Ovis aries: one gene and its partners. The protein of the gene in region 1 interacts with the protein of each later gene in a pairwise test. Links are inferred from orthologs where the notes say so. Each region holds a gene or a part of one and is shown in the gene's direction. Other genes may lie near its edges.

The links.
Region 2: the proteins of HOMEZ (region 1) and NCK2 interact in binary tests that used the Homo sapiens proteins (3 or more experiments, as listed by UniProt). The two-hybrid records come from large-scale screens. The link is inferred for Ovis aries from reciprocal best matches to the Homo sapiens genes HOMEZ and NCK2.
Region 3: the proteins of HOMEZ (region 1) and DEF6 interact in binary tests that used the Homo sapiens proteins (3 or more experiments, as listed by UniProt). The two-hybrid records come from large-scale screens. The link is inferred for Ovis aries from reciprocal best matches to the Homo sapiens genes HOMEZ and DEF6.
Region 4: the proteins of HOMEZ (region 1) and MED18 interact in binary tests that used the Homo sapiens proteins (3 or more experiments, as listed by UniProt). The two-hybrid records come from large-scale screens. The link is inferred for Ovis aries from reciprocal best matches to the Homo sapiens genes HOMEZ and MED18.
Region 5: the proteins of HOMEZ (region 1) and SH3RF2 interact in a two-hybrid assay, tested with the Homo sapiens proteins (2 studies listed by BioGRID). The two-hybrid records come from large-scale screens. The link is inferred for Ovis aries from reciprocal best matches to the Homo sapiens genes HOMEZ and SH3RF2.
Region 6: the proteins of HOMEZ (region 1) and DNTTIP1 interact in binary tests that used the Homo sapiens proteins (3 or more experiments, as listed by UniProt). The two-hybrid records come from large-scale screens. The link is inferred for Ovis aries from reciprocal best matches to the Homo sapiens genes HOMEZ and DNTTIP1.
Region 7: the proteins of HOMEZ (region 1) and AEN interact in binary tests that used the Homo sapiens proteins (3 or more experiments, as listed by UniProt). The two-hybrid records come from large-scale screens. The link is inferred for Ovis aries from reciprocal best matches to the Homo sapiens genes HOMEZ and AEN.

What each region holds. Positions count from the first base shown.
Region 1 is NC_056060.1:21,431,919-21,435,369, forward strand, and holds part of HOMEZ (homeobox and leucine zipper protein Homez), read left to right. Parts: intron 1-2,770; coding exon 2,771-3,451. UniProt on the Homo sapiens protein: May function as a transcriptional regulator.
Region 2 is NC_056056.1:60,725,047-60,729,813, forward strand, and holds the start of NCK2 (cytoplasmic protein NCK2), read left to right. Parts: upstream 1-1,454; 5' UTR 1,455-1,575; intron 1,576-1,704; exon of another isoform or gene 1,705-1,923; intron 1,924-2,053; exon of another isoform or gene 2,054-2,261; intron 2,262-4,767. UniProt on the Homo sapiens protein: Adapter protein which associates with tyrosine-phosphorylated growth factor receptors or their cellular substrates. Maintains low levels of EIF2S1 phosphorylation by promoting its dephosphorylation by PP1.
Region 3 is NC_056073.1:9,420,939-9,424,140, forward strand, and holds part of DEF6 (differentially expressed in FDCP 6 homolog), read left to right. Parts: intron 1-964; coding exon 965-1,073; intron 1,074-1,261; coding exon 1,262-1,560; intron 1,561-2,602; coding exon 2,603-2,769; intron 2,770-2,867; coding exon 2,868-3,066; intron 3,067-3,202.
Region 4 is NC_056055.1:238,803,578-238,808,393, reverse strand, and holds the start of MED18 (mediator of RNA polymerase II transcription subunit 18), read left to right. Parts: upstream 1-1,833; 5' UTR 1,834-1,981; exon of another isoform or gene 1,982-1,992; intron 1,993-2,767; exon of another isoform or gene 2,768-2,832; 5' UTR 2,833-2,838; coding exon 2,839-2,911; intron 2,912-4,816. UniProt on the Homo sapiens protein: Component of the Mediator complex, a coactivator involved in the regulated transcription of nearly all RNA polymerase II-dependent genes.
Region 5 is NC_056058.1:54,887,768-54,892,477, forward strand, and holds the start of SH3RF2 (E3 ubiquitin-protein ligase SH3RF2), read left to right. Parts: upstream 1-1,761; 5' UTR 1,762-1,843; intron 1,844-2,923; 5' UTR 2,924-3,036; coding exon 3,037-3,414; intron 3,415-4,710. UniProt on the Homo sapiens protein: Has E3 ubiquitin-protein ligase activity. Acts as an anti-apoptotic regulator of the JNK pathway by ubiquitinating and promoting the degradation of SH3RF1, a scaffold protein that is required for pro-apoptotic JNK activation.
Region 6 is NC_056066.1:74,555,977-74,560,126, forward strand, and holds part of DNTTIP1 (deoxynucleotidyltransferase terminal-interacting protein 1), read left to right. Parts: intron 1-840; coding exon 841-899; intron 900-998; coding exon 999-1,059; intron 1,060-4,150. UniProt on the Homo sapiens protein: Increases DNTT terminal deoxynucleotidyltransferase activity (in vitro). Also acts as a transcriptional regulator, binding to the consensus sequence 5'-GNTGCATG-3' following an AT-tract.
Region 7 is NC_056071.1:18,981,276-18,985,425, forward strand, and holds part of AEN (apoptosis-enhancing nuclease), read left to right. Parts: intron 1-1,773; coding exon 1,774-2,377; intron 2,378-4,150. UniProt on the Homo sapiens protein: Exonuclease with activity against single- and double-stranded DNA and RNA. Mediates p53-induced apoptosis.

The sequences.
Region 1 (3,451 bases):
TTTGTTATAGTTCTCATGAACTGGTTCTAGTTTCCTCCTATAGCAAAGCCAGATTCTTCCAGGGAGGTACCAGCTCTACTGCTGTGTCCTAATTTTAAAGCACCATTCTGTATCAAAGTCTTTCACAACTTGTGTTTTGTGTTACTGAAGAAATGTGGATGTATGCAGTACACCAAATATGACCTTTGCAGTACTGTTACACTGAACTATCAAGCCATGAGAATCTTAAGGATAGCAGACCACACGAATGAAAGCAACCTGTTTCCTTGTCAGCTGGTACCTGCACCTGCCTTATTCCCTGTCTAGCAGTCTTCACCTCACACTGGACTGCTTTATTCCTTGTGCTACCTTTTCCTCACGTCTAAACTGTCGCCACGACCTTAAAAAAATAGGGCACGAATAAGGTTGAGTGGGTGTCGAGCGTTGGATCATCAAGTATTCTCCAGCTTAGATGTAGTGGTGTTCCTGGTGGGCCACAACTTCCAAATGGTGGTTTTAAGTACCTACCCATGCAGGCACTTCCTCACAGCCACTCAGCTGTGTCTTGAGATGAACCTGTTGGGTAGCAGCAATCAAAATTCACCCGGCAGCAATCAAAAAGGATTTATATCTAAATTATAGATTCTCTAAAGCAGTCATTTTGATACTTTTTTAAAAAGCAGCAAAATCTTTTCTGGAATTATATCCAACTCCCCAAATATAAAAAGTACAAAATCAGATACCCTGGTTTCCCCCATTAGAATTAGGACTCTGCAATAACAGATTGGATACAGTAATTTAAAATATTCCATCTTTGCCTCACTTCCCCTGTTGCCTAGGAGGAGCATTACTTTTCAGAATCATCCCATGATGCTGAAGCAATGATAAAAACTCTAATTTATTGAGCCTTTAGTATAGGCATAATGTCAGTTGCATTTTTTTAGTCATAACCTTGCAGGTAGATGCTGTTATCACCTTTTATTCTGATGGGAAACTAAGGCTTCAGCAAGCACTCTCGGGAGTGGTGAAGCTGTGATTCATCTCAGATTTGTCTCACCCTAGACCTCTACCTCTAACAGCTCTAGGCCCCGCCTATACAACACCTAGCACACAGTAGGTGCTCTGTAAAAACATATGTAACTTTACATACGCTCAACATTATCTTCAGTTTTTACACATGAGGAAACTGAGGCGCCTGTAAGTTCAGACAGAACTGGGATTCAAACTTCCTATGTAATGCTGGCCTTAATCACATTCATATCCACTATGCCATGCTGCCTCCACTTACCCTCTGAAGGTTCTCAAACTGTATTGCATTCAAGGTCTGCATGGCCTTCAGTTTGTTAAGATTTTCTTGTTAAAAGGGAATGGTGACATGCATTAGAATGCTGCCAAATTTTTCTGTTCATCATATAAAATTTCCGATATTACACTGCTCTATCTGTAACTTTTACATAGGCATGCTGTCCTCTCCGTAATGTGTTACAGGGACTATTTGTAAACTCAGATGGGAGTCCTTGAAAAGTAAAGGGTGACAGATAATGTTAGTCTCTAATGCCCACACAGGGAACATTTAACAGGGAATTGAGTTAAAACTCCATCACCAGGAAGTCCCTGGTGGCCCAGTGGTTAGTACTCAGCACTTCCAATGCAGGGGCATGGGCTCAATCCCTGGTTGAGGAACTAAGATCCCCACAAGCCACGTGGCAAAAAAAAAAAAAAGTCAAACTGGGGCCCAGAATTATTCTGGGAAATAGCTTGGGCAGGTTTCCAGGAATAAAGCACAGTCAGAGGCTTTCTCTGCAGTCCCCACACCCATGTTGAGCCTGGGAGCCCTGGTGCCACTGGGTAGCTTGCAGGACCTGGTTACAGTTTATAATGAGCCTGCCCACCTGGTTCCAAGAAGAAAGCTGGACTGAAGAGATAAGAGCTGCAGGCCTCCCGCCCTGTGTGGAGGCGGCTGTTAAGGTCTGAGGGAGCTCTCTAGGCTTCCTGGAGAGAGACAGCAGTTGGAAGAGACAAAGGCTGGGAAAAAGGGGAATAACCTTTGTTCTGCGGAAGTCTTGGGGAAGGAAACATTCACCTCCCTCTACCCTCTCCGGATCAAAACCAAGGGGAACTCCATTCATCCCAGATCATTGACCCATCTCATCCTAATGAGACTTAGAAAAAAATTAAACTCAGTCACCTTCCCGCAACACTCCACCACCAAGAAAAGAAGAAAAGAAAAGGGAGCTGGGTAGAGGGACAGTGCTGTTCTACCTTCTGTACCTTCTAGATTCTCACACTTTGTATTCCTAATCTTCCACATTTTAGAGATAATCTAGAGATAACTCAAGAAATAGTCTGTTAGGAGCTAAAGTGTTCTGAGATTACATACATCTCTTTGGGTTTTCTAGGTGAATCTTCATTCTGTCACTCTTGTTGCATGAACTTAGAGGGTGAAGTGAATTTGAAGGGGAAAGATAAAGGCTCTAAGGATGTTTTCCTTTTTTTTAACCTCAGAAGTCAGATAATCATCTTGGTGACAACACTCACTATTTTTGTGACTTGGAATAATTTAACTTCTCTGGACTTTGGTTTTTTCATACCTATAGGGGGAATTATAGCAGGCTCTGATGATTTATAAGGTTATGAAAATTAAATGAGAAATTGTTAAACACTTTAAAAGCAATCCAGTACAGTACACATAGAAAATTGTTTTTGGAGCCCAACGTTTTGTTTGGTAGAAATTGAGCAATGGCCTGAAAGGGGAACCCCAGTGATCGAGCTGTTTCTCTTCTTATTACAGCTATCTCTGAAGGGCACAAATCAGAAAGCACCATGCCTCCTAATAAAGAGGCCAGCAGCCTTAATAGCTCCCCTGCGGGCCTCATCTGCCTCCCTCCAATCTCTGAGGAACTACAGCTTGTGTGGACCCAAGCAGCCCAGACCAGTGAGCTGGACAGCAATGAACACTTGCTCCAAACCTTCAGCTACTTCCCCTACCCCAGTTTAGCAGACATTGCCCTTCTTTGCCTGCGCTATGGGCTGCAGATGGAGAAAGTCAAGACTTGGTTCATGGCCCAGCGCCTTCGCTGTGGCATTAGCTGGTCATCTGAAGAAATTGAAGAGACTCGAGCCCGAGTAGTCTACCATCGGGACCAACTCCATTTCAAATCCCTTCTCTCTTTTACTCATCATGCAGGGCGGCCCCCAGAGGAAGTGCCTCCTTCTCCTGTGCCACCTCCGGAACAAGTTGGTCTTGGAATAGTGCCCCTGACTCTTAGCGAGCCCACCCAGATGAAAGGATTGAAGGTAGAGCCTGAGGAGCCACTGAATCACCAGAAAGCAAAGGAGACCCTGATGGTACCTGGCAGTGGAGCATTCCCCCATCAATCGCAATTTTGGCAGGATCATCAATGCAGTGGCCTCTCCAAGGAGCAGGCAGGCAGGTGTCCCGACCAGTCACACAGCCTAGGTACTGCCTCCT
Region 2 (4,767 bases), on another chromosome or scaffold:
CTGGGTCCTGCCAAGGCCAAGCTTGGGGAGAGGGAAGGAAGAAGTCGAATTTCAACAAGGTTTCTCTCTGGAGCTGAGATGCCTGATGGCCTCTTGGCCCTGCCTGTGATCACTGGAGGAGGAGCTCAGTTGGGAAGTTTCATTCTGAACCTGATGAAACTCAAGAGATTATCAGTTGCCTAGAGGAATGGCAGATGAGCTGGGAGCTCCCTAAGGCTGTAGGTTTGAAAGTTAACCCCCGAAAATCAGACCGGAAATATACAAAAAAATGATTGAGCCTCTCTAAAAAAGAAAGGTACATATTAATGAAAACAAATGGGCCAATATTGTTTTGGGTATATAACTGTTGGAGGTTAGAACATGCCAGATAAGGACAAACATGGATAAGTTAGAAAGGTAGTGATGTTAGATAAATGAACAGATAGATGACTGCATTTTAGGAAACAGCAGAAATGCAATGTGCACAGAAAACTGCACCAGATAAAGACTGAGAAAGAGATGTTGGGTTTCAGACAGAGAATGTCCTTGGTGAGTTTACAAAGACCCAGAGAAGGAAGAGGAGTTCAACTCTCCATTCAGTGAAGGTTACAAAGCAGAGGAGTAGCAAAAAACTGGGTCAATATTGTTATACCTATTTTGAGTAAACTAATTTAGAACTGGGCCAGACCATTTACTATAAACTCTGCTTTCCTTCTTAGGAAGACAAAGTTTTCACAAAACAACAGACTGAGGAAGCTTCTTTCTCAAGGATGTAGAACAGGTGGCTGTCTCTGACACCCTGACCTTGGACTGATGGTGGCTCAGTGCCCTGATCCCCTCCAGCCACTGACCACTGAGTGCTTCCTACTGCCTGGAAGTATGCCAGGGACTTCCAGAGGAGCTGGGCAAATATTATCTCCATGTTGGATAGATTTTAGATAGGGTAAGAAACTCTTGTTCCACAGTTGAAGAACCAGACAGTCAAACACTCAACTGGGACTTCAAAGATATACTGGCTCCAGGACCCTCCTTGGGTACTTGTGTTGGGAAAGAGGCATTCATTCAGTGACATCATCTTGTCACCTGGGGTAAACTACGATTGCTTTAATATAATGAGAGGCCAGGAGCCTAAGGAAGACCCTCATTAACATGGATCCGGCCTATTCCACCAGGATATCAGAATCATTTGAATAGTAGGATTTCCTTTGGGGAAGCCACGTGGGGGGAGATTGATGACAGACATCTGGATACATGTGCCTGTTTAAGGAACCCTGTGTCTTGCCCCTCCTCTTGGGTTTCAGTCTTCCAAGTGTGTTTACAGGTAAGCATGTGGCCAGGCGGCCCGACGGTCCCACCACCAGTGACAACTCCTGGGACCTACATTCCTGCAGTTCCACCCAGGATTTCGCCCTGTGGGCGGGTTTGAGCTGGACACAGAGGGAGGAACAGACATTGTGGTTTCCTCTTCTGCTTTTAAGAACTGCTTCCGACGATAACGAGGGAGTCAAAAAGTGTCTGGTTGGGAAAGTAAATAGATACGAGGCAAATAAATAAAAATGCCCAGAAGCAACTACACGGAGGAAGTGACATTTTTCTGTAAGTCACTTTTCTGATGGACCGCAGGCCTGCTCCGCCGAGGGTGCCGTGGGAAGGCTTCCGGGAGAGGGGGCGGTGGCCAAGCCCCAGCGCGTCCTGATAAGAAAATCAAACAAAAAGGGGATGGACAGACCACCCGTCGGTCCTTCGAGGCCGGGCTGCTGCTGCTCTCGCCTCTCCCGTCTTCCTATTCGCTCCCGGACGCGCAGGGTCGGAGCTGGGCCTCCCCTCCCCTCGGCGCCCGGCCCGGCCCGGCCCCGCGCAGGGTCCTCCGGGCCGGGCGGCGCCCGCGTTTGAGCCTCGAGCCAGCCCCGGCGCCGCCCGAGCCGGGCCGCCGTGCGCGCCCAGGTGGGTCCCGGGCGGCGGGCGCGCGGGCCTGGGCGGCCCCGGCGGCGTCACTGGGCGGAGCGGAGGAGGACGAGGAGGAGGAGGAAGGGCGCGCGGCGGGCGCAGCCGGGAGGGGCGGGGGCGCCGCGGCGGGAGCGAGGCCGGAGCCGAGCGGGCCGGCGGGCGCTGGGCTCGGCGGCGGGGGTCGGCCGGGCCCGCGGGGTCCGCCCGGGCCGGAGCGTCGGCCGAGCGGCGGGAGGAGCGAGCGGCGCAGACAAAGAGCGGCGCCTGGGCGGGCGCAGGGCGGCCGCCGCCCGGGACCCGCGCCGCTGCCCCGGCCTCGGCGCGCGGCGCGCGAGGTAAGCGGGGGCCGGGGGCTGGGGCCCGAGGGTCGGGGCTCAGGGGCTGGGGCCCGGGCGGAGGCCGTCAACTTGGGCGGCTCGCGGAGTTGCGGGGCAGCCGGGGCGGGGCGCGCCGGGGCCGGAGCCGGGGCTGGGGGCCCGGTCGCTTGCGCGGCCTGGCCTCGCGGCTGCGGGCACCTCCGGCTCGCCCCCTCCCCGGGTCGGGCGGGCGGGGCAGGCCTGCGCGGTGGTCCCGGAGCGGGGACCGGGGAGGCCGGGCGCGCCGCCGGCGAGGACCGCGTGGATCGCCGGCCCCGCGCAGGCAGGACCGGGAGGCGAGCGCGGCCCGCACAACTTCTGGGATCGGGACTGTTGGCGACCCCGCGCGGAGCTGCTGTCACTTGGCGTCCGGGAGGTTTCCCGCGGCCCCTAGGCGCTTCGTGCCGGGCTCCGCGTCCGACCGGGGATCGCCGGCCCCGGAAACAAAGTTTCTCACGATCGCGCTGCCCTGGTAGCTTATTCTGGGCGATCGAACCACCCAGCGGTTCTGGAAGAATTCGGTGTGTGATTGTAGGCGTAGACGGTAACTCCCTCGTGAGCGCATTCGGCGTGGAGCGAGTGGGGGGCGTGATTGCAAAGCGCTTTCGTGTGTGGACCGTGGCGGTCGCCCTGAAAGGGCTGCGCGTGTGCCGGGGCTCTGGGCTCACTGGCAGCTCGTCCGCGTGGGGACAAAGCTGGAGCCGGCGCGGGGCGACCTCTGGCACTCAGGCTAGGTCGGGTCCCCTGTGTTTGCCTTTGTTTATTTTGCCAACAGGTTTGGGGCTGAGCCTGGCAAGTTTGGGTATGCGCAGGGGATGAGCAGGCCTCAGCGCTGGGCCCGCGCAGGCCCACTCCTGCCCTTGACCCCAAAGAAAGTGAACCCCGAGAGGCTACGGGGTGTGGCCTGGGGTGGGAACCCCGAGGTAGCAGAGTCCCGCCTGGTCCCTGCCCGGCTTCCTCCTCGGCTTCGCCAAAGGGATTTAGTAGGAATGAGAGTAATTTGAGGCGTGTTTTGTCCCTCTGCATCAGGTATCGTTGGCAACAGGGCTTTTCAAGGCTAAAAGAGACTGAAAATGAAATCACTCTGGTGCTTTGAGTTATCACAGCGGACCTAAACTTTATTTCCAAACACTACCCGTAATTCACTTACCGGGTGTCCCCAGATATTAATAAACGGGTAAATTAATAACAGGAATCGAGCCTGGGCCAAGGGTTTAGTAAATAGGAGGGCAGTGGTGCACAGGAGATGAAGTGGGTTCAACTGCGAGACTGAGCTGTCCATGTAGGTTTTTAGGTGGTCGGAACAGGGGTTTCCCCAGATGTGAGTGTTAACCATGATTCTGAAGCAGTGACCGGGAGGGAAAATCCTACATTGATGTTTCTCCTCTCCAGGTTGATTAGATGTAGTGTTAATTGAGGGAGAATGCAAATGGCAACCCACTCCAATACTCTTGCCTGGAGAATCCCAGGGACAGAGGAGCCTGGTGGCCTGCCGTCTCTGGGGTTGCACAGAGTCAGACACGACTGAAGCAACTTAGCAGCAGCAGCAGCAGCAGCAGCATTGACTGAACAAAGTTGCCAGATTTTAGCGGTCCTCTGGCTGCAGCTAGCTGAGGCTGAAATTGGAAACTTAAAGCGGTGGTAAGCTGGTGGTACCAAAGAGGCCTCATCTGGGCTTCAAGCTTCTCAGCTGCTCCCTAGACACGCTGCGGGATTGCTCCTGGAACATGGGATGAAGTCGGGTGGTGAATTGCGTCCAGAGAACAGACTGACCCAGTACCTTCTCTCCCCACTTAATGTGGGGCCTGATTAAGGTGATTTCAAGTAGCTGTGCTCACTTGTCAGACTTTGAGGTTTTCTTTATCACATGCCTTGCACTTCAGGTCTCTTCATCCCTCCTCTCTTGGAAGCTGTGATGTTTCCCAGCCTCTGTTGTTTGCATCAAGCGATGACTGAGATTTTCCAGCAAATGCATCATATGTACACGGTATTTGAGAAGTGCGCTATTATCCATGTTAAACATACCCAAAATCTTTCTTGTGTGTATACAAACTGAATAACTTTTTAATTTTTTTACTTTTCATTGCTCTGGGCCTCTCTTGCCACCCACTGCTTCCTCTTGTTGCGGAGCATGGGCTCTAGGCACACAGGCTTCGGTAGTTACTGTATGTGGGCTCAGTAGTTGCCGCTCCTGGGCTGTAGAGCACAGGCTCAGTAGTTGTGGCACGTGAGCTTAGTTGCTCCACGGCATGTAGGATCTTCCTGAACCAGGGATCAAACCTGTGTTTCCTACATTGGCAGGCAGACTCTTCACCTCTGAGCCACCAGGGAAGCCCTGGATAACCTTTTAAAATACCCTAAAGTCTTCTTGATTGTCTGGAATGACCAGATCCTCTTCCTTGGTCACTTCAGTTGCCCCCAACTGGATGAGGCTGTGTTACACAATTCTCCAGGATATGCATGCTTGTAACTACCCAGCGTGGCC
Region 3 (3,202 bases), on another chromosome or scaffold:
TTTCCATCATTTTGGTATTATGCATAATGCTGTTATGAATATCCATGTACAAGTTTCTGGGTGGATATATATTTTCTCTTCTCAAGGCACATACCTAGGAGTAGAATTGCTGAATCACACAGTAATTCTATGTTTAATTTTTGAGGAGCAGCCAAACTCTTTTCCATGGTGGCGCACCATCTTACATTCTCACCAGTAGTAAATGAAAGCTCCAATTTCTCACTAACACTTGTTATTTTACATGAAAAACATTATTGTAGCCATTCTAGGCTGTGTCCATCTTTGTCATGTAAGGAAACAACTATCATTGTGCAAAGAGCACAGATCTAGGCAGAAATCCAGCTCCACCACTAACATGCAGTGTGAATCAGGCATGTTCCTGGACCTCTTAGAGACTTAGTTTCTTTCTGTGTAAGATGGAGCTAATAATCTATGCCTGATACAGACTCTAGAACACATGAAGCTCAGTGGGTAGCTATTATTTTCCACTAGAATGTAAGCTTAAGCAAGGCAGGGATTTGGTCTGTTAGGCACGTCTTAGTAGTATCCCATATGCCCAGAGCAATGAGTGGCCTGTAGACAATACAGAATATCTGTGGAATGAATGAATGGAGAACTTTCTCAGCAGGCAGGCTTCTGCGGAAATGAACGGTCTCATTAGTGAGGACCCTGTCATGAGAGATGTTGAGCCCTGATCTGGATAAACACTGAGTTGTCGCTGTGTGTAGGCCCCACAGAGAGATAGTAATAGGAGAGCTGTCCCATCTTCAATGCGCAAAGGCTATAAGAGTTGTGGGGACACTAACCTCCAAACCCGGCCTGCAGACTCCTGGCAGAGTGGGTGGAAGGGGTGTCAGGAGGAGATGATGGTCAGCCAAGGGGGTAGGGGCTGGAGCTGGAGCCCCCCTGGGGCAGGTGTGGCCCTTGACCCCAGTGAAGCCAGCCTGTCTGGGCCTTCTCCCAGGTGCTGCCCGACCGAGAGGGGAAGCGTTGCATGTTCTGTGTGAAGACTGCCTCCCGCACCTATGAGATGAGCGCCTCCGACACGCGCCAGCGCCAGGAGTGGACAGCTGGTGAGTGCTCGCGGGGTGGCCTGGACCTGGCTGGGCCCCAGTCGCCTCATCGGTGAAAAGAGAGTGAGAGCCCTTTGCCCAGCAGGAGGCCGGAGGCTGGATAGGAGCCACTCCAAAGGCCCCTTTCTGGCGGTGGGCCCCCCGGAGGCCCCCCTGTCCTCGGCTAGCCCCTCCCGCTCCCTCCGCAGCCATCCAGACGGCGATCCGGCTTCAGGCCGAGGGGAAGACGTCGCTGCACAAGGACCTGAAGCAGAAGCGGCGCGAGCAGCGGGAGCAGCGAGAGAGGCGCCGGGCTGCCAAGGAGGAGGAGATGCTGCGACTGCAGCAGCTGCAGGAAGAGAAGGAGAGGAAGCTTCAGGAGCTGGAGCTGCTGCAAGAGGCGCAGCGGCAGGCGGAGCGCCTGATGCAGGAGGAGGAGGAGCGGCGCCGCAACCAGCACCGGGAGCTCCAGCAGGCGCTTGAGGTCCAGCTGCGCGAGGCAGAGCAGGTATGGCTGCACCCGGGCAGAGGAGGTGGGCCGAGGGTTGAGGCCCCCGCCAGGAGCTGAGCGCCGCGGGGCGGGGCCTGGGCTGGGGGCGGAGCCACGCACTGAGGGATGAGCGTGGAGGTGGGGCTTGTCTTGAGTGATTTTGGCGGGGGACAGAGATAGGTATGGGATGGGGACAGGGCCTATAGGGTAAGGGACTTGGCAGAAGGATGGCTTGAGAGGAGAGATGGTGTGGGGCGGGGCCCGAGCCTACGAATTGGGAAGGATGGAGTGGAGAGATAGGTGTAGAGTGAAGCCAGGTTGGGAGACCTGGCTGGCGGGCGGGACCTTGACAGAGGAGCTGCTAAAGACCTTGTGTCTGGGGATGAATTTGGACCGAGGCTGGACTATGTGGGACCTGACTTGATCTGAATTTATAACGAGGCCAGTCTGGAGAAGGTAGGATGGGAGGAAGGCGGGATGAACCTGGAGACGGACTAGAGATGTAGAGGCAATTAGATTTAAGATTTAAGAGATCTAGATCTGGAGTCGAGACACTGTGGGTTCCATACCAACTCTGCCTCTTAGGAACCCTGTGATCTCAGGTAAGTTACTTGGCCTTTCTGTGCCTCAGTTACCTGTGACATGTTGATGCCAATAGAACTTGGTTTATAGAGCTGTGGAAAGGAGGATCAACTAAGGAAATACTTTTGAGTTATAATTGCTCTCACAATTATAATTATAGTCATTCCCTTGCTACCACTAGTCTAATTATAATTATGAAACATTATATTACAATGTATAATAATAACTATTAAGGCTGGTGCTAAAAAGGGAATGACTTGAGCCCCTTTCCCCCATGTGGTTCACTGATCCTCATCAGACTTAGTCAGGTTTTCAGAAGGGGATCAGATCAGGAAAATCTGACCTGAAGGAACTCCCCAGACCCTCATCCAGAGATAACTAGCTGGGCTGGCCTCACAAAGCCCTGGGGAAAGGGCAGCATACCGGCAGCCTTCCTCTGCCGGGCCCCTGCTAACCTGGCTCCCTGTCCCCCATTCAGGCCCGGGCCTCCATGCAGGCTGAGATGGAGCTGAAGAAGGAGGAGGCTGCCCGGCAGCAGCAGCGCATCAAGGAGCTGGAGGAGATGCAGCAGCGGCTCCAGGAGGCCCTGCAGCTGGAGGTGAAAGCTCGGCAGGACGAGGAGGCCGTGCGCCTCGCTCAGACCAGGTAGAAAGGTGGCCCCTCCCTGACGCCCCCACCCTCCCACCTGTCGAGCACCTGTGAGGTGCCTCAGCCTTGGAGGTGACACAGTGGATACCCCGCAGACTGCTAGAGGAGGAGGAGGAGAAGCTGAAGCAGCTGCTGCAGCTGAAGGAGGAACAGGAGCGCTACATTGAGCGGGCGCAGCAGGAGAAGCAGGAGCTGCAGCAGGAGATGGCCCTGCAGAGCCGCTCTCTGCAGCAGGCCCAGCAGCAGCTGGAGGAGGTGCGGCAGAACCGGCAGAGGGCCGACGAGGACGTGGAGGTGAGGCCTGGGGTGGAACAGGTCGCAGGTGGCGGGGTGAGCCGCGGCACAGGCTCTGGAACCTTCCCTGGAGCTCTATCGCTCAGGCCCTACCATCACCTGACTGTGTGGCCTCTGACAAATGGCCTAACCTCTC
Region 4 (4,816 bases), on another chromosome or scaffold:
AATTAAGGCAATGGGTGCACCTTGAACCTGAAGGGCACCTCACCTGTCTGCAGTTCTTCTCTCTTCTTCCTGTAACTGGTGTTTTCTTCAGCGAATCAAAGGATAAAGGGTGTTTTTCCACAGTTCTCAGTACCTTATCCTCCAACTGGCCTTCTCAAATGAAGAATCTATGCCTTCGGTGTCTTTGTCATGATTTGACTGAAAATCAATAAAGTCTGTTGGGGCATCATAGATGTAAGTGTTTGCAATTTGAGACATTTTCCCTCACCCCTGGGGCAGAACAGCTAGTTTTTCCCACTGTTCTTGTCACTTTTGTAGGTTAATCTGTCAGTCCCTGGATCTACTACCTTTGAGCTTGACTCAAAGTTGACTCTTGCACTTTTCTTCTGCGGTCTTGAAGTCTGGAAAGTGCCTCTTATCCAGAACTGCCTGGAAGACCCACCACAGGACTCACTACCTTCGGAAGTGCCTGTAATCCAGCTGCAGTAAACCATCAAAAGTTCATAGGAGAGCCAGCTGGAAAAGCCGAATTCTTTTCCTTGGTTTCAGGTCTGATTAGACCCAGTTTCAGCCTTGTGACCTGTATTTAGGTTTGTGGTGTTTACAGCTCTCCAACATGTTTACTTCCAAACGCGACCATCCTTTCTTGATGGGAACAGTGGCCACCGAAGTCCAGTGTTTTATTCCATGAAACTGGTTCGGATCGGTTGAATTCGATCCAGTGAAACCAACAGACCCTCCCACCAGAGACAGATGAGATTCTGGCCTTTATTAAGCATACATGGTGAACACCTAGTCCTGGCTGTACTTGGCAACCCTCCTTCTGTTTTGATTCCCACTCCTCCCAACATGTGTGTACTTTTGACCTACTCTGAGCCGGAGTGAGTGAAGTTGCTCAGTCGTGTCCGACTCTTTGCGATCCCATAGACTGTAGCCTGCCAGGCTCCTCCGGCCATGGAATTTTCCAGGCAAAAGTACTGGAGTGGGTTGCCATTTCCTTCTCCAGGGGATCAGACGCTTTACCATCTGAGCCACCAGGGAAGCCCACTCTGAGCTCGACTCCTGATCTATTCGAGCGACCTTGTCCTGTCTACAAATGGACAGGCAATAAGATGACTTTAACCCAGAAGCAGCACCTCAGCAAGGGAAATGAAAACATCAGAAGCCAAACTGATGTAAGGTGTGGCGGCGGCGGTGGTTAGGAGACTGAGTCCCACTGAGGCGGGTTGCACGCCCCCCAGGAGGCGCAGGTGGGCCCCACCCCAGCCCCGCGGGGCCGCGCACGCCGGCCGGAGGGAGGGGCCAGATGAGGACCAAAAGTCTCCAAGCGCAGCTCTTCCTTAGGAGCGGGAGCTGTTCTGAGTGAACCTCCGGCCGTGCCCTCCTCCAGGGGATCCTCCCGACCCAGGGATCCAACCAGAGGCTTCTGTGTCTCCTGCAGGCAGATTCATTACCGCTGAGCAACTGGGAAGTTCTATCATCAGATACCCACCCAAAATAAGTTTCTGTTTTACGACAATCTCTCCTCTTTTTCTGAAGCTCTCTTCCCCAGGGTCTCTTTGTCCTTTCAGGTCCAAGAGATTTCCTGGACAAAAACACGTCCAGGTCTTCACAGTTGAAAAAAATATTTTCCTGGAAGATGGCGTATGACTGCAATGCCGCCTGAATCTCCCAAAGGACCCCTCCTAAGGAGGCCGCCATCTTCCGTGCAGCATCGGAGTTTGCGCATGCGCCCCTGCTTGCCGTACAGCGGAAGAGACTTTTTTTGTCCTCTCGGCACCCTTACGTCGCAGAGTGGCGGTGTCGAGGTTTGCGCGACGAAAGGTTTTTGTCAGACGTGGGAAGAGGCGAGAGAATTGTTGCACTGCCTAGGGGTTTTCAAGTTTAGGGCTGGGGGTGGTGATTGTTGCTCGAAAGCTCCGAGGTGCTCGGGTGAATACGGTCCCCCGCTTTCCTGGAAGAGGCTGGAACGCGCTTGGCGGTGTGTTTTTGGTATAAGTGGGCACGTTTTGATGCTGGGTTTAGGAGGCCCTAAAGCATCATTGGGGCTTCCCTAGTAAACTCAGACGGTAAAGCATCCGCCTGCAATGCAGGAGACCCGGGTTTGATCCCTGAATTGGGAAGATTCCCCCGGAGAAGGAAATGGCAACCCACTCCAGTATCCTTGCCTGGAAAGCCCCATGGATAGAGAAGCCAGGCCTAAGTCGATGGGGTCACAAAGAGTCGGACACGACTGAACGACTAACACAAAGCATCAGTGGAAAGAACTTCGTGCTTTCGCTTCAATCTCTTTAAAAGGTTTTTAGAGAGGTGGAACGCCTAGATTTTAGTCTGGTATAGGTTCTGCCACCCACCTATTGTGTGTCCTTAGGCTCCTCCCCAAGCCTCAACATCCTCATCTGTAAATTGAAGGGCATACAAGAGTCCTTAAGTCACTTTTCAGTCTTTAGTTGCAGGTCCATTATGTCATCTGAGCCACAAAGACTTGGGGGTTAATATCATGGCCTCATTTTAGAAGAAAGACATTGAGTCCCAGGGTGCACAGAAAACCATTGAAGGGTTTCAGACCTTGAGACTGAAAGATTATGCTGTAACTCCATGATCAGGCCTCCTTTGTGTATTTCTGGATCACCTGAAACTGGCCTATAGCAGTTACTAAAGTTTTGAATGGGTGGATGAATGAATTTTCATCTCCAGGCCAATGACCCAAGCAGATCTGGTCTCTCTCTGCCTCTCCCATGTATTAACAAGTATAACTCTTCCCCAGGTGTATCCTGTGTGTTACCTGACTGGGGATTCCAAATCTAGTTCTGTCGTTTTCAACTTAAACAGATAAACATGGAGGCACCTCCAGTCACCATGATGCCTGTCACCGGGGGCACCATTAACATGATGGAGTACCTGCTGCAGGGTAAGTGAACTAGGGAGCTTGAATTACCTGTTTTCCTGTTTTCTGTTCCGCTTTCCATGGAGATGAGAGGCTGTTATATAAAAGCTACCTGCATAATTTCTGGCACCCTTTTATTCCCCAATTTACTTTTAATTATGGTCACAAATACATAACATTAAGTTTACCATATTAAACATTTTTAAGCATACAGTTCAGTAATGTTAAGTATTTCACATTGTTGTATAGCTAATCTCTAGAACTTTTTCATCTTGCAGAATTGAAATTCTATTCCTGTTAAACACTAATTCCTCCTTTCCCCTTGCCGTAGGCCTTGGCAACAACCTTTCTACTTGATGTTTCTAATTTTGACAACGTTAGATAACCTCATAGGAGTGGAAGCATTCAGTATGTGTCTTTTTATGACTGGCTTATTTCACTTAGTATAATATCCTCAACATTAACCCTTTCGCATGTAAGAGAATCTCCTTTTAAAAATCTGAATAATGTTCCACTGTATGTACATACCATATTTTCTTTATTCGTTTGTCTGTCAGACATTTGGATTGCTTCTACCCAAATTGTTATCATAGATAATACTCAGTGAACATGAGTGTGCACATACCTCTTCAAGATCCTGCTTTGGATTCTTTAGGAGTGAATGCCCAGAAGTGAGATTAATAGATCATATGGTAATGTTATGATACTGTTATTAGTTCCATCTTCTAGATCAGGAAATAGAAGTGAAGTAACTTTCCCAGATGAGAAAGCTCAAGACCAGGGAGGGTTATGATTTTCTGGAGGTCATTTAATCTTTAGTGGAAGAATTTAGACTTTAATTCAGATCATCCGTTTAGTAACTTACAATGGACAAAATAAAATTGTTAATTGCACTCCTCAATCTGCCTCTACTTCAGCCTTTCCCATCTCAGTAAGTGCCGCTGTCAGTCATCAGTTGCTTAAGCCATGCATTCAGGAATCAATCTCAGAGAAAAGAAAATAGAGTCTATGGGGTTGCACAGAGTCGGGCACAACTGAAGCGACTTAGCAGCAGCAGCAGCATGGCATGCAGGATCTTAGCTCCTGAACCAGGGATGAAACCTGGGTCCCCTGCATTGGGAGCACCAAGTCCTAACCACTGGATGACCAGGGAATTCCTGTGAACAGTCAGCCTAGATTTCTAGATCTAGTCATCTAGATGTCTGTTTCTGACCTTTTGCCATATTTGCTCTATCTTTTTCCTTTTGCCGTTTTTGAAGACAGATTCAGATCTCGTAACATTTTACCCCCAAACACTTTCAGTATTCATCTCTAAAAAAGCAAGCGTATTTTCCTTAATAACCCCAATACTATCATTATTACCTGAAAGAGTCATAGTATATTTCTGATATCATCTAATATATAATTCATATTCAGAAGTTTCCTCCATCTTGTGTTTTGATCCAGGGCATAATATCATCTCATGCATTACATATGAAAACCGTGTCTCTTAAGCCTTTTTTAACTTGGACCCGCCTCCCCTCATTGCCACTTTTTTTCATGTGACCCTGTCTGGTTGAAGCATCCATACCAATTTTCCTAGAATGATCTTTTTAAAATGTAAATCCAGTCATATCTTTCCTTGTTGCATGGAGAATAAAGTGTGGAGCTAATAACTGCCCAGTGGCCGTACAATAAAATACAGCCTTTAGCATGGGCGACACATAAGTCCTGCCTGCTTTGGCCCATCCCAAATGCTCATTTCATGATCATCTTCCATCTTGCTTACCATACTTCAGCCACACTTTCATTTCTTTGGATTCCCCAAGCTCTTTGCTACCTCTGATCCCCCGGCGTCTATACTTTGTTCCAGCCCTTCACATAGCCATCTCATATTTATTCCTCAGGCCTCAACTCAGTTGTCATTCCCTTAGAGATCTTCTCTGACTA
Region 5 (4,710 bases), on another chromosome or scaffold:
TAGAGTTCCCACAGGAGTGGCCCTCTCTGCAGGGTGGAAGGACAGGGGCCGCTCACAGAGGAGGCAGATCAGCTTTACCAAGCGGCGACAGCAAAGGGTCTCAAATGGCAAGGGGCTTCCTGATAAGCACAAAATCTAAACTGGAAATTAATTGAAGGAGACAGGTAATAGAGTAAGGTGTGGTGGTGTTGAAACTCAAAACACCCTCCATAAAAGGGAGAGGGAAAAAAAAAAAAAAGAATTGAAAGTGATCTCTGAAATTGACACAGATCCAAACTAGGGCTCTGCACCTGGGGGGACATATGACTTCATCTGCTCCATCCCTAAGATCTCCCCTGTTTCGAAGGTCAAGCATGCTTGCTTTTTCAGAACTGACACGAAAGAACTTTCTAAAACAAACAAATCACCACCATCTGTTTGCTTTCTGCCTGATAAGGAATTGTCAGCCTTACGTCTGAGAGAGAAGACACACTCTCTAGTCCCAGCACTGCCCCTAGCTTACTGGGCAACTTCAAGGAATCTCCCAACTTCAAGAATCTCCCAGCTGCCTCATCTGCCAAAGAATTTGATCGGTCACTTTCGTCATTATCTCTTGACTTTCTGCTGTCTTAGATGAGGTCCAGCTCACCTCAACCATCTCTCCTCCTCTTAAAGCTGTGTCACCACAGGACATGGTAGTGAAGGTCACAGATCACCGTGTCTCTTGGGATGACTTATTTAATGTCTCAGGTCTCTGTTCCCTTCTTCATAAAATGAGGGTAAGAGGCCAGTGTATCATTGGGCTGATAGAAGGATTATATGAGTTCATGAAGATAAAATATTTACAACAGTACTTGGCACAGATAAGGGCTCCACTACTCTGTTGTTAGGTATTAATGATGATTATTATTATTTACTTTATTGGATAACTTTGTAGTGTAGTGTTAAAGTGTTAAATGAAATATACTATTGATAAATCAAGAAATAGAAGTATAAGCATTATTTGGGGCTAAAAAAGGCTCCAGTGGGTAGGATAAGAGAAGCTGGAATATTACTTTTTCTTTTTACCTTTTTAAATTTATTATTATTATTTGCACCATGCTACATAGCTTGGTGACTTGTGGGATTTTAGCTTCCCAACCAGGAGCCAAACCCAGCCCTTGGCAGAGAAAGTTCAGAATTCCGACCACTAGACCACCAGGTTATTTCTACTTTCCTTTTTTTTTTTAAGCCCTCCTGTCCTTTGATTTTTCAAGGATGTGTCTGGACTACGACAACACTGTTGTTTTGTTTCGTTTTTTTAATTTCATCAGATTGAGCAAACAGATCGCTCAAGTCCGTCTCAAATCTCATAGTTCAAGGACTGGCTGATTTTATAGAGCAGTACTTTTTAGGTGACCCGTTTATCTTTGTGTTCACAGCTACCTTAATACGTTTGAACTTTTCAGGAAATCCTCATAAAGGTTTGAAATAAACACAATCACCTTGGCATGTTCATAACTTGAGTGTGTTTCAATTTCCGGGAAAGGACAGAAAATGAGGAAGGGGAAGTATAAACTTGGTCGGTACTTAACCTTAGAGGCAATTGACTTGTATTTTACCCGCTTGTAATCTTTTCCCTGAAATCGACTCCCACAAAGGAAGGATGATTGGTAGCAGAGCGTGAGAGCGCAAAGGGCAGAACGGCGGTGAAAGCGTTAACCGGGCTGGGTAAGGCGATCCCTGAAATGAGTTAAGACTCGAGCTAAAGTTTTCAAAGCGGCGGCAGCAGCAGCTCCAGGGGAAACGGAAGCCGGTGGAGGGAGCCTGGCGGAGCATCGAGGACAGTGCTGAGCTGAACTCAGACCCGGGTGGCCAGCTCAAGGTTAGTGGCCCCCACCCCGCACACCTCCGCGTGCTGACATCTTTGGAGCTGTCTCCGGAGGGCGGGCGCCTTCTCCCAGCCTGGCTTGTCCTGTCTGCCTGTCTACACCAGTGGGGCCACTGGCTCGTGCCAACCCTCCGGCTAGCGTTCCCCTAAGCCCTGGAGCTGAGAGGGACCGGGACCTGTTCCCAAGCCACTTTCCTTAAGAGGGGGACTTCTCAGACACCCACAAGGAGACTGTTCAGAATACACACACACACACGCGCGCGCACACACACACACGTACACACACACACACACACACACCCCTGTATTGGCTGCCCCATCTTGGTTCTTGCAGGCTGTGACCACAATCCCAAATTCCTATCTGCTTCAGTTGAAACAGAACAGTTGTCAAAGTAACAAAACAGGCTGTGCAACTTTATCTATGGGAGGGATGGTGTCTCTGAGGCTAAGATAATCAAGGTAAGAAGGCGAAAAAAAGAGGAACGAAAAGAAAGAAAAAACTTTCAAGCTCCACAGCCTGGAGTTGAGGCAAAACAATTTTTGAAAATTAGGTTCTCGTAGAAATTGTACATTGCTAGAACAAAATAAAGGGGGAAGATGTACTGTGAAGGATAGAATTCTACAACTACGGGAGATTCCCATACACTTATGTAAACAGCTTGTTATCAGTGTGATGCAGAGAACAGATACACTTAAAGAAGAGAAAGAGAGAAAATAGCTTCAGGGAAATTACATCCTGAGGGGCCTTTCATTTGAGATCCAGACGGACTGCTGGAAAGCTTCCTCCTTGGAGCCCCGGGTCAGTTCTGTCTCCCTTCTCTCGCCTTGCTCACGGAGAGGCAATGAGTAAGTTAGTCCGGCAAGCAGTCAGAAGCTGTATTAGCTGCTCCCTCGCATCCTCCAGCAGGCAGGAGTCGAGGTCTCTACCTGCTAGCACTGAATCAGAATGAGTCATCTGAAACTTGGGTGCGGAAACAAAGTCCCTGCGAACCGCCTTATGAGGCTCTGCCTCCTGTAGGTGGGATATACCTCTGAAGGCAATCACAATTTTTTCCGTCTTCCTTTCTCCTTCAGACAAGCGGGCATCCTGACGCTCTCAAGAAGCCCCGTCTCTACCCCCACTGGCTCAGCTGACCAGACCATGTGGACTCTGCCCCTCCAGGTCAGGACTGGAGTTTTAAAATAAAATGGATGACGTGACGTTACTTGATCTTCTGGAGTGTCCCGTGTGCCTTGAAAAGCTCGATGTCACCGCCAAAGTTCTCCCTTGCCAGCACACCTTCTGCAAGCCATGTCTCCAGAGGATTTTCAAGGCCCACAAGGAGCTGAGGTGCCCCGAGTGCAGGACCCTGGTGTTCTGCAGCATCGAGGCGCTGCCAGCCAACCTGCTGCTCGTGCGCCTCCTGGACGGCGTGCGGGCCGGACAGGGCTCGGGGAGAGGGGGGTCCTTCCGCCGGCCTGGCGTGCTGACCCCGCAGGACGGCAGGAGGAGCAGGACTCACCCCAGAGGTCCGCAGTGCAGTCCTTTCCGGCTGGTGCCTAACGTCAGAATCCACATGGATGGGGTAAGAAAGATCTCATCTGTTCCTTCGTGTTTCCTTGGAGGTTGGGTTTGTGCGCGCCAGCAGCTGGGGCTTCTCTTCTTTTAGCTCTGTTTCAAAGAGCCGCTGCCGAGGATTCCCTGAGGATAAGTTTCTGTGGGTGGTGATTGTCGTACTGAGACTCAGTGGAACCCTGAGCCTATCCAGTCCAATCAGGAACTTTTAAAATTCTTAAAGCTACCCAGGTCCTCCCTGCTTCTGGTCCAGAAGGTGGTAGAACATGGAAAGCCTTCTTGACTGTTTATTTATTTGTTTATTTTTTACTACACTGGGTCTTTCTTGTGGTGTGCAGGCTTTTCATTGCAGTGGCTGCTCTTGTTTGGAAGCACAGGCTTAGAGCCTGCGTCAGTAGTTGTGGTACACAGCCTAGTTACTACTGCCATGTGGGATCTTCCAGGACCAGGGATCCAACCCGTATTCCCTGAATTGGCAAGCAGATTCTGAACCACTGGACCACCTGGGAAGTCCTTTGATTATATTCTTGGTCTTTCATTTCTGCTGTTCTGAGGCCAAACCAGGGCATGGGAAATGCACAGAGGATGAGAAAAAGAAAAACAAATCCAACTGCTTGTCACTTTTGCAATCTCAGAGAAGTTACTAAATGTCAGGTTTTGTTTGCATTTTACCCAAATCCATCTTGCCACTCCCAGTCATAAAGTGCCATGATGACAATGCTCATTCACAATCACTCAAAGTTATCAAGACACTGGACGCACAAAGTTCGATCAGGAAGGAAGCATCTATGTGGGTGGAGTGATTGACAGGAAAGGCTGGGCTGTGAAGTACAACCGACATGTACAGAAGCCCCAAAGATGTGTCTTACTTTACAAAATGAATAAACCATACAGAAAATGCACATCAGAGCCTGCCATGAAAAATGAAGCGCCCCAGGTGAGCCACAGGAGATCACCCAGTAATGCATTTTGTGTTTGGACAACGTGAATCGTCCTGTCCAGCCTTGTGGGCACATCCTCGGGACTTTATATGACCTGCCTGTGAGCCTCATTCTGGGAAGCTGGGGAAGGGGATAACTCAAGAGAAGATCATGGTCCTGTGGCTCCAAGAGGATTATTGGCTGTCATCCCCAGAGTCAGTGTGTCTAAGTGGGCGTGGCACACCATGGGTGGGTGGTTGGCATACTCAGAAATTCTGTGAACTGCCACATAAAGCAAGCTTTAACCCTGGCAGTTAACCAGGACTTTAACCATGACTCCCTGCTGTGAAGAGTAGCAGAGGGTGGGAGGGTCTTCCCCGGACTCC
Region 6 (4,150 bases), on another chromosome or scaffold:
CTCTTTTTTTGGCCAAACTGGCATGCAGGACCTTAAGTTCCCCAACCAAGGATCAAACCCATCCCCCTGCAGTGGACGTGCAGAGTCCTAACCACTGGACCACCAGGGAATTCCCCCTCATTTTCCAAACTGCTCTGTACAACTACCTCTAAACTGCCCACCCCTCCTATAGTCGAGCCACTTCACACCCGTTAGCCAAGTTACAGAAGAGCAGGCTATCGTGAGTGCAAATCCAGCTCTCCCTGCCTAGAGGCCTTCAGTGACTCCATCACCTCCAGGATAAACAAATAAAAAGCCGTCCACGTAGTGAACGAGCACCCCCAGCCCCGCTCTGCTTCCCTCCAGCCCCAGCCGTTGCCACCCTCCGAATGCTCGCTCTCTCAGCAGCACAGAGCTTCTGTGGTTTCTCCGCAAGCGCCCCAGCCGTCACCTGCCTGCTTGCACTGCCCCTCCTGCCTCCCTTCTCGCTGTCCAGCTCTGCTGTCTGTCAGCGCCACCTTGGGAGTCACCCTTCAAGGAAGCCCTTCTGTTACCCTCCCCTTGACTCCCATCAGGCCCTGCACTCATCTGTGTCACCGCCCGCCTTATAGTCGTATCATTATCCGCACGTGCGTCTGTGACCCTGTGGAGAACAGAGACTGTCCCTGATTCATCCCCTTACCCCTCAACCCCCCATTCCCCCCGCCACAGTATATAGCACAGTGTCCAGTAGTTTAAAAGTATTCAGTTTCTTAAATCAGCTGTTTGTTGAGTAATGGCCAAGGACGATTGTAGGGGAGAGTTTCTGTCCTGCCCACCAGATAAACCTCCACCTCACCAGCCTCTCTGTCTTTTGCACAGTGGGACCCTGCTCGGCTGAACGAATCTACCACCTTCGTGTTGGGATCTCGAGCCAACAAGTAAGTCTGTACGGAGTTGGTGCTGAGGGAGGGGCCCTGAGGGGTCCCCCTGAGCACCACGCCTGCTGGGATCCTCACCACTCATCTGTTGCCTTGCAGGGCCCTGGGGATGGGGGGCACCCGAGGGAGGATCTACATCAAACACCCACACCTCTTTAAGGTACGTGAGTGCCAGGAGTCGGGCCAACCCTGGCCATGGAGTAGACGGCGCTGCGAACTCTCCATGGCCCAGAGGAACCTGGAGTAAACCCTGACCCAGGAGCCAGGGCAGCAGGGTTCTAGTGGCCCCTCTGCCCTTAACCTTTCCTTTTTGTAATTGACTCAGTGCCTCTGTGCCTCATAACATAGCTCCTGTCCTCGTCTCTTTGCTGTGTGTCTAACATGGTTCTAAGTGCTTCGCTTACGTTACCTCTTGGACATGAGTCAGGATTCTGTCTTCTGCAGATCCTGAGCTCTTAACCACTGCTGTATTCAGTTGTCTGCGAAATAAAGAGATCGCAATGGAGCAGCAGTTCTAACGTTTTCCAAAGAGGGGACTCCTCGTCTGAGCTATGCTTTGGTCTCCACTATTTGAGAAAATAATGGAGCGGGGAGGGCATGAATTCATGCTCTTAGATAAGTTTGTATTTTATCAGTCACAGAAGCATCCAAATATATTAGAAGAAAGGTAACATGCACGTGTTCAGGTTAATGGTTTTTGCACCTCTGTGCAAGACTCGGTGTCCCTTGTCAGAACAGCTCCTTGGGGTCTCAGAATCAGGGGCTCTGGCCGCTACATTTGGTGCAAGGTCAAGTTCTTTAAAGGGCAAAGCTACTTCTGTCTTATCAGTCTTATGTTCTGGGATTTTCAACCTATGTTTCGGCCTGCGTGCTGCTACTTCATTTTCCTCCCTTAGTGTCTCCACTCCTGCTGTTCCCTTTGATGACCTTCCCCCGCCACCCCCACCCTTTTCTCTGCCTGACTGTTCTGTTAGATCCACCTTGTCCAAGACCCTCGCTGGCATCATTGCCAAATGGATATGCTCTTAGACCTCCTTCCAGGTCCTTTTGTGCAGTGGTTAAGAGTATCATCTCAGTCCCGATTCCATTACTTACTAGCACGTGACCTTGGGCAAGTGGCTCCACATTTCTGAGCCTGTTTTGTCCTCTGTAAAATGAGAAGGATGCAAACCAGCCTTTTATGGTTGGTAGAATTAAGAGAGAATGTAGTGAAACAGCCTTTTTTGTAGTAACTTTTCCTTTTAATACTTATTTGGCTGTATTGGGTCTTAGTTGTGACTCACAGGCTTAGTTCCCTGACCAGGGATCAAATCCACATCCCCTGCATTGGAAGGCAGATTCTTAACCATTGGACCACCAGGGAAGTCAGTAGTAATAACTTTAAAAGGAGTATAGTCTATAAAAACATTGAATCATTGTATTGTACAATTGTACAATTGTATTGAAATTAATACAATATCATGAATCAGCTATACTTCAAAAAAAAAAATGGACTTCCTCTATTAAAAAAGAGAGAGAGAGAGAGATAAAGCACAATAAAGCCCCCAGACAATGCCAGCATAGCAAGGGCTCAGTAAATTGTCAGCATTACCAGCATATTTTCCCAGTTCTTAGACCCATTGTTGGTAATAAACTCATGGCCAGTAGATACTCTCTCTTACATTAGTCTCTTCAGAATAATAAGTAGAGGGGAAAGTTTTTTGGTTTTTTACTTTTAATTCTTTACTGGTGTTGATAAGCATCTTTTCATCCATTTAGAGTTTTTGTGTTTCTTCTATAAACTGCCCGTTATACCTTTTTACTCATTCTTCTGTCCTTCTAAAGGCATTTTGCAAATTTCCTTTTTGTTTTTAACTTTTTAAAATTATAGAAATAATATATAAACCCATTCTTGTAGAAAGATTCAAAGAATGCTCTAAAGCTAATGGGGAACAAGGCACCAAGCTCCGCTTCCCTCTTGACTCTGACTCTTCTCCCCTAGAGGTTACCCCCAGCAGCATGGTAGCATTTTCAGTCCCATGTGTGTCTATGTGTCCTTGTCCTTTAATGATGTTTTGTTTATGTTATTGGTCTTATCCTATATATATTGCTCTAAGTTTTTTTTCACCCCAAAATTTGTTCATTCATTCATTCAAATATCTATTGAGTACTGAGCAGTCTCAGACTGCAGAGATACAGCAGTGGGCAAAACAGACACACACAGCTCCTTGCCCTCACAGAGCTTACAGTCTAATGTAGAGCAAGCTGTATACCCTGGAGCCAAATCCAGCGTAGCCTTGTTTTTGTCCAACGCAGAGTGATGACATTTTTTAAGGGTAATTTAAAAAGAAAAAATAAAGATTATGTGACCAGGAAAGCCTAAAGTATTTATGGAAAAAGTGTGCTGACCACTATAAATCTAGGGAATAAGACCTTAAGGGATTCGTCCATGTTATTAAGTCCCCCTCATTTTACTTTTTTTTTTTTTTTCAAGATTTATTTTTGACTGTGCTGGGTCTTTGTTGCTGCACAGGCTCTTCTCTGTTTTCGGAGAGCCCCTCCTTAGGGTCTGCTCTCTGGTTGGGATGCACCAGCTTCTCACTCCACGGGCTTCTCTTGTTGCCGAGCTCAGGCTCTGGGACACACGGGCTTCAGTAGTTGCGGCTCCTGAGCTCACTAGTTGCAGCTCCCAGGCTTTAGAGCACAAGCTCAGTAGCTGTGGCGCGTGGGCTCAGTCGCTCCTCGGCATGTGAGGTCTTCCCAGATCAGGGATGGAACCTGCATCCCTTGCACTGACAGGCGGACTCTTCACCACAGAGCCACCAGGGAAGCCCTTCTTTTTTTTTTTTAATTTTATTTATTTATTTTTTTGGCTTCATTGGGTCTGTGTCCAGCCTTCTCTAGTTGCGGCAAGCAGGGTCTACTCTTAGTTGTGGTGTGTGAGCTTCCCTCGAGGCGGAGCGCCAGCTCCAGGTGCTCGGCCTTCAGTAGTTGCTGGATGTGCGCACAGTAGTTGGGGCACGCAGGTTTAGTTTCTCCCCGGCATGTAGGATCTTCACCGACCAGGACTGAACCCAGGTCCTCTGCATTGGCAGGCAGGTTCTAATCCACTGGACCAACAGGGATGTGCTGACTCCTTTAATTTCAACAACAGTCCTATAAGTGTTAATACCCTCTGTTTTACAAATGAAGAAACTGAGTCTCAAAGAAATCATTGCCTCGATTTACACCACCTAATAAGTAGAAGAAACCAAGATTTATGAACCAGGTTT
Region 7 (4,150 bases), on another chromosome or scaffold:
TAAGAATGAGCAGCTCAATTTTAATCAGATGTACTAGGAAACAGCATTTTCATGAATACAGTTGCAATTAAAATTGGTCACCTATAAAGATTTTAAAGGCTATATCAAAGTATACAGTCTAGATGAAAGATGGATTAATGAACCAGGAGACTGAAATAATGGGGTGGGGAAGGGAAGGATTGGGAGTTTGGGATTAGCAAATGCAAATTATTACAAATAGGATGGATAAACAAGTATAGATAGCACTGCTGCTGCTGCTTAGATGCTCAGTCATGTCCAACTCTTTGTGACCCCATGGACTACAGCACGCCAGGTTCCTCTGTCCATGGGATTTTCCTGGCAATAATACTGGAGTGGGTTGCCATGCCCTCCTCCAGGGGATCTTCAGGACCAAGGGATAGAACCCTCGCCTCCTGCATTGCAGGTGGATTTTTTTTAATCACTGACCCACTGGGGAAGCCCCCTGTATAGCGCAGGGAACTATATTCAATATCCTGTGATAAATCATAATGGAAAAGCACATGAAAAGGAATATTTGTGTGTGTAACTGATCACTTTGTTATACAGCTGAAGTTAATAGCAACACTGTAAATCAGTTATACTCCAGTAACTTTTAAAATAATAATAATTTTTAAAAATACACATGGATTTTACCATTTCCTATTCACAAGGGAAGGGTGGGTTTACATGCAAAGAACCTGAATTGGTTAGGTACTTATTCTGAGCTGAGTTAGTCCCTGCTCTGACTACTTCAAAGCGCTGGTTTTGTGGTCTGTTCAAAATCTACCAGCTGACTTATGACTTAGCACAGCAAATGAGATGAGGCTTCCCAAGCTGCATCCTTGACGATTTGGAAGATGCCAGTCTTTGCATGGGGTTTGTAAACCCACAGGAGCAAACAGCTGTTTCCTGTGACCATGGTGTGTGACAGCATCTCCTGTCAACCCAGCGTTCAGGCATGGAGAGCGTGGAGGAGGGACCACGGAAGTCTACAGCACTGTACATCAGGGCTCTTTTCTGTTTCTCCTGTTTAGATTTGAGCTGGTTTACCAGCACACACCTATGCCTGTAGGCCTCCATGATTACACTACAAAGTCCAACTATGTTAAATGTTTGTAGACAGTGTTATGACGAGTGAATTAGAAAGTCAGTTGATAGATATGTCATTTTGGTTAACACATATCAAAAATACAACTGTTGTGGGCTTCCTGTGAGATAGTTTCTCTAGGTTCTACTGTGGGTAGGAAAGGTTCTACCTTTACACTGCATAAAGCTTTTGTTTGTTTATCCAAAATGGGATTTCGTATATATGTAACATCTCTGTAATCTTTATTTTCTCATTTTGTTTATTTTCTCTTAAACCTCTCTAAAAGTTTTTCATAATTTTTAGTTTAAGCTAACAATGTTGGAGGTAGGCTATGGTGTGGAATTTGAAAGCCTGGGTTCTGGGTTCACATCAGCCTTTGTCTGTTTATTAATTGGATGAATTACTAAGCCTTCATGCCTCACCTTTCGCACCTACAACATGGGGATAATAATACCTTTCTGAGTTGTGGGAAAGATTGAGTGATTCCATGTAAAGTACTTAAGACAGTGATTTTGCAGGTGATGTTGACCCTATGAGTGCAGTTATCATTAAAGCAGGTCCTTGGCTTTGTCTGGGGTCTTGAGACACTGTACAGCAGTTGCGCACTGGCTGGAGGGAGCGGGTGGGGGGGCAGGGCTGGCCGGGCCTGTTCCTCACCCTGCCCCTCTGCCCTGTTTCTCTCCCAGGCTGCTGCCCTGTTGGCAGATCACCTCCCAGGCCTCCCTGGCCCTGAGTGGTGCACAGATGGGGATGGTACCCCAGGAAGCTCCTGAGTCAGTGCAGTGCCTGAGCCCTTCCCTGGCCAGCCGGAATGCCAAGGATGTGCTTCGGAGGAAGCACAAGAGGAAGAGCCGACAGCACCAGCGCTTCATGGCCCGGAAGGCCTTGCTGCAGGAGCAGGGGCTGCTGAGCCCACTCCGGGAGCCAGGACCCTCCTCTCTGCCTATGCTGCCTGGGGCCCCGCCAGGCACAGAAGGGGCCGACAGTGCCAGGCAGCGTCCGCGGGCTGAATCTGAAGGTGCTGGGTGCAACAGAAAGCCAGCCCCCAGGGACTCTGCCGGCCCCTTGCCCAGCAAGTGCGTGGCCATTGACTGCGAGATGGTGGGCACGGGACCCCGAGGGCGGGTGAGCGAGCTGGCCCGCTGCTCCGTGGTGAGTTACTACGGCGAGGTCCTCTACGACAAGTACGTCCGGCCTGAGATGCCCATCGTGGACTACCGCACGCGCTGGAGCGGCATCACCCGGCAGCACATGCGCAAAGCCATCCCCTTCCAGGTGGCCCAGAAAGAGGTGAGGCCAGGGCGGGGGCTGAGCCCGGGTCTGAGCTAACACGTAGCCACTGGAAGCAGAGAGACCTTGGGAGCCTTACTAAGCTTCTTCAAACAGTGGGTTTCCGCTCCATAGGAAAGGATGAGTAGAAATCCTGCCTTCCCTGCATGGAGCGATTGCTGGCTGTCCCACGTGGTGGTGTGTGTGGAAAGGCTGTGCCTTTCCCACAAGATGGGAAGCAGCTTACACTCTGCATTTTCTTCTTCTGTTATAAAAGTACTACGTGTCTGCATAAAATGTGTAAGGCCCTTAGTGCTGTCACCTCCAGGTGTTAACATTTTGGTATTTTTTTGTTAGTTTTTCATTGCTTTGTTGTTGTTCAGTCACTAAGTCATATTCCCACTCTTTGTGGCCCCATGGACTGCAGCATGCCAGACTTCCCTGTCCTTCACCACCTCCTAGAGCTTGCTCAAACTCATGTCCATTGAGTCGGTGGCACCATCCAGCCATCTCATCTTCTGTCATCCCCTTCTCCTCCTGCCTTCCATCTTTCCCAGCATCAGGATCTTTTCTAATGAGTCAGCTCTTCCTATCAGGTGGTCAAAGTATTGGAGCTTCAGCTTCAGCATCAGTCTTTCCAATGAATGTTAAGGGTTGATTTCCTTTAGGATTGACTGGTTTGATCTCCTTGCTGTCCAAGGGACTCATTGCTTTGAGGAAAATTAATTTGTGGTTGGGGCCACACTAACATGCCAGGAACTCCCAAACACCCTTGAGCGTAGGAAATGTACCTAAATCTTTATTAACAATCTTGGATTCTTGTCCCAGATCCTCTCCCTAGAGATTCTGATCCTGCAAGACTCTAGGTCTTGGGAGGGAACTGATGTGTGTTTCTAAAAACCATCATGCTGTACAAACCTGCATGATAAAGACCCTAGAGCTGATGGGGAAAATGGGGTTAGAGACACAACACTTAAACTTTATCAATGACCCCCCCAGATAAAACAGGAGGTCCCAATTATGGAAACAGTGGAAGCACAGTTTTGCACAGGTTCAGTGGTTAAGGAAAGTATAAATTTACTGATATGGTGCTCTGTGAGCAAACTCCGGAAGATAGTGAAGGACAGGGGATCCTAATGTGCTGCAGTCCCTGGGGTTGCCAAGAGTCGGACCTGACTTGGCGACTGAACTGAACTGAACTTGCCTTGAAAAGACCCAGACACGACTTAGCGACTGAACTGAACTTGCCTTGAGAAGACCTGGAGCGCTCAGGGACGTAGCTGTCGAGAGGATGGTGGCTTGTGCTGTGGTGGAGCGGTTAAGGGTGTTACTTGAAGTTAGGATATGGGAAGCATGCAGGTGAGCTAAGCTGGCTGGTAGACGTCTGAGAGTCCCCCGTGGCTCTGCTAACCTGGGTATGCTTTCTGCATTCATTCAGTGTTTATCAAGGGCAACATCTGCATTATTCTCAAGTCACATCAACCAGGTTGGACCATTCTGCATTTTTAAACCAAGCATTATAGCAAAGCTATACTTAACATTTCTGGTTTATTCTTGGGATGAGGTACATTTAGGGAATATTGATACAAGTCATCTTGTGTCTTCCTTTTTCACAGCAGATACAGTGTAAGCATTTCTTTTAAATGGATGTTTCAAGTGAGCTGATTAGGAATAGAGGCAGCAGGAAGGCAGACGGGTGGTAACCCCCAGCTCCTAGGGATGTCTCTTGGCCCGTGCTGGATTGGCCCACGCTCTGGGCCAGTATGAATGGGGTCTGCTGAGTCCTTTCCCACC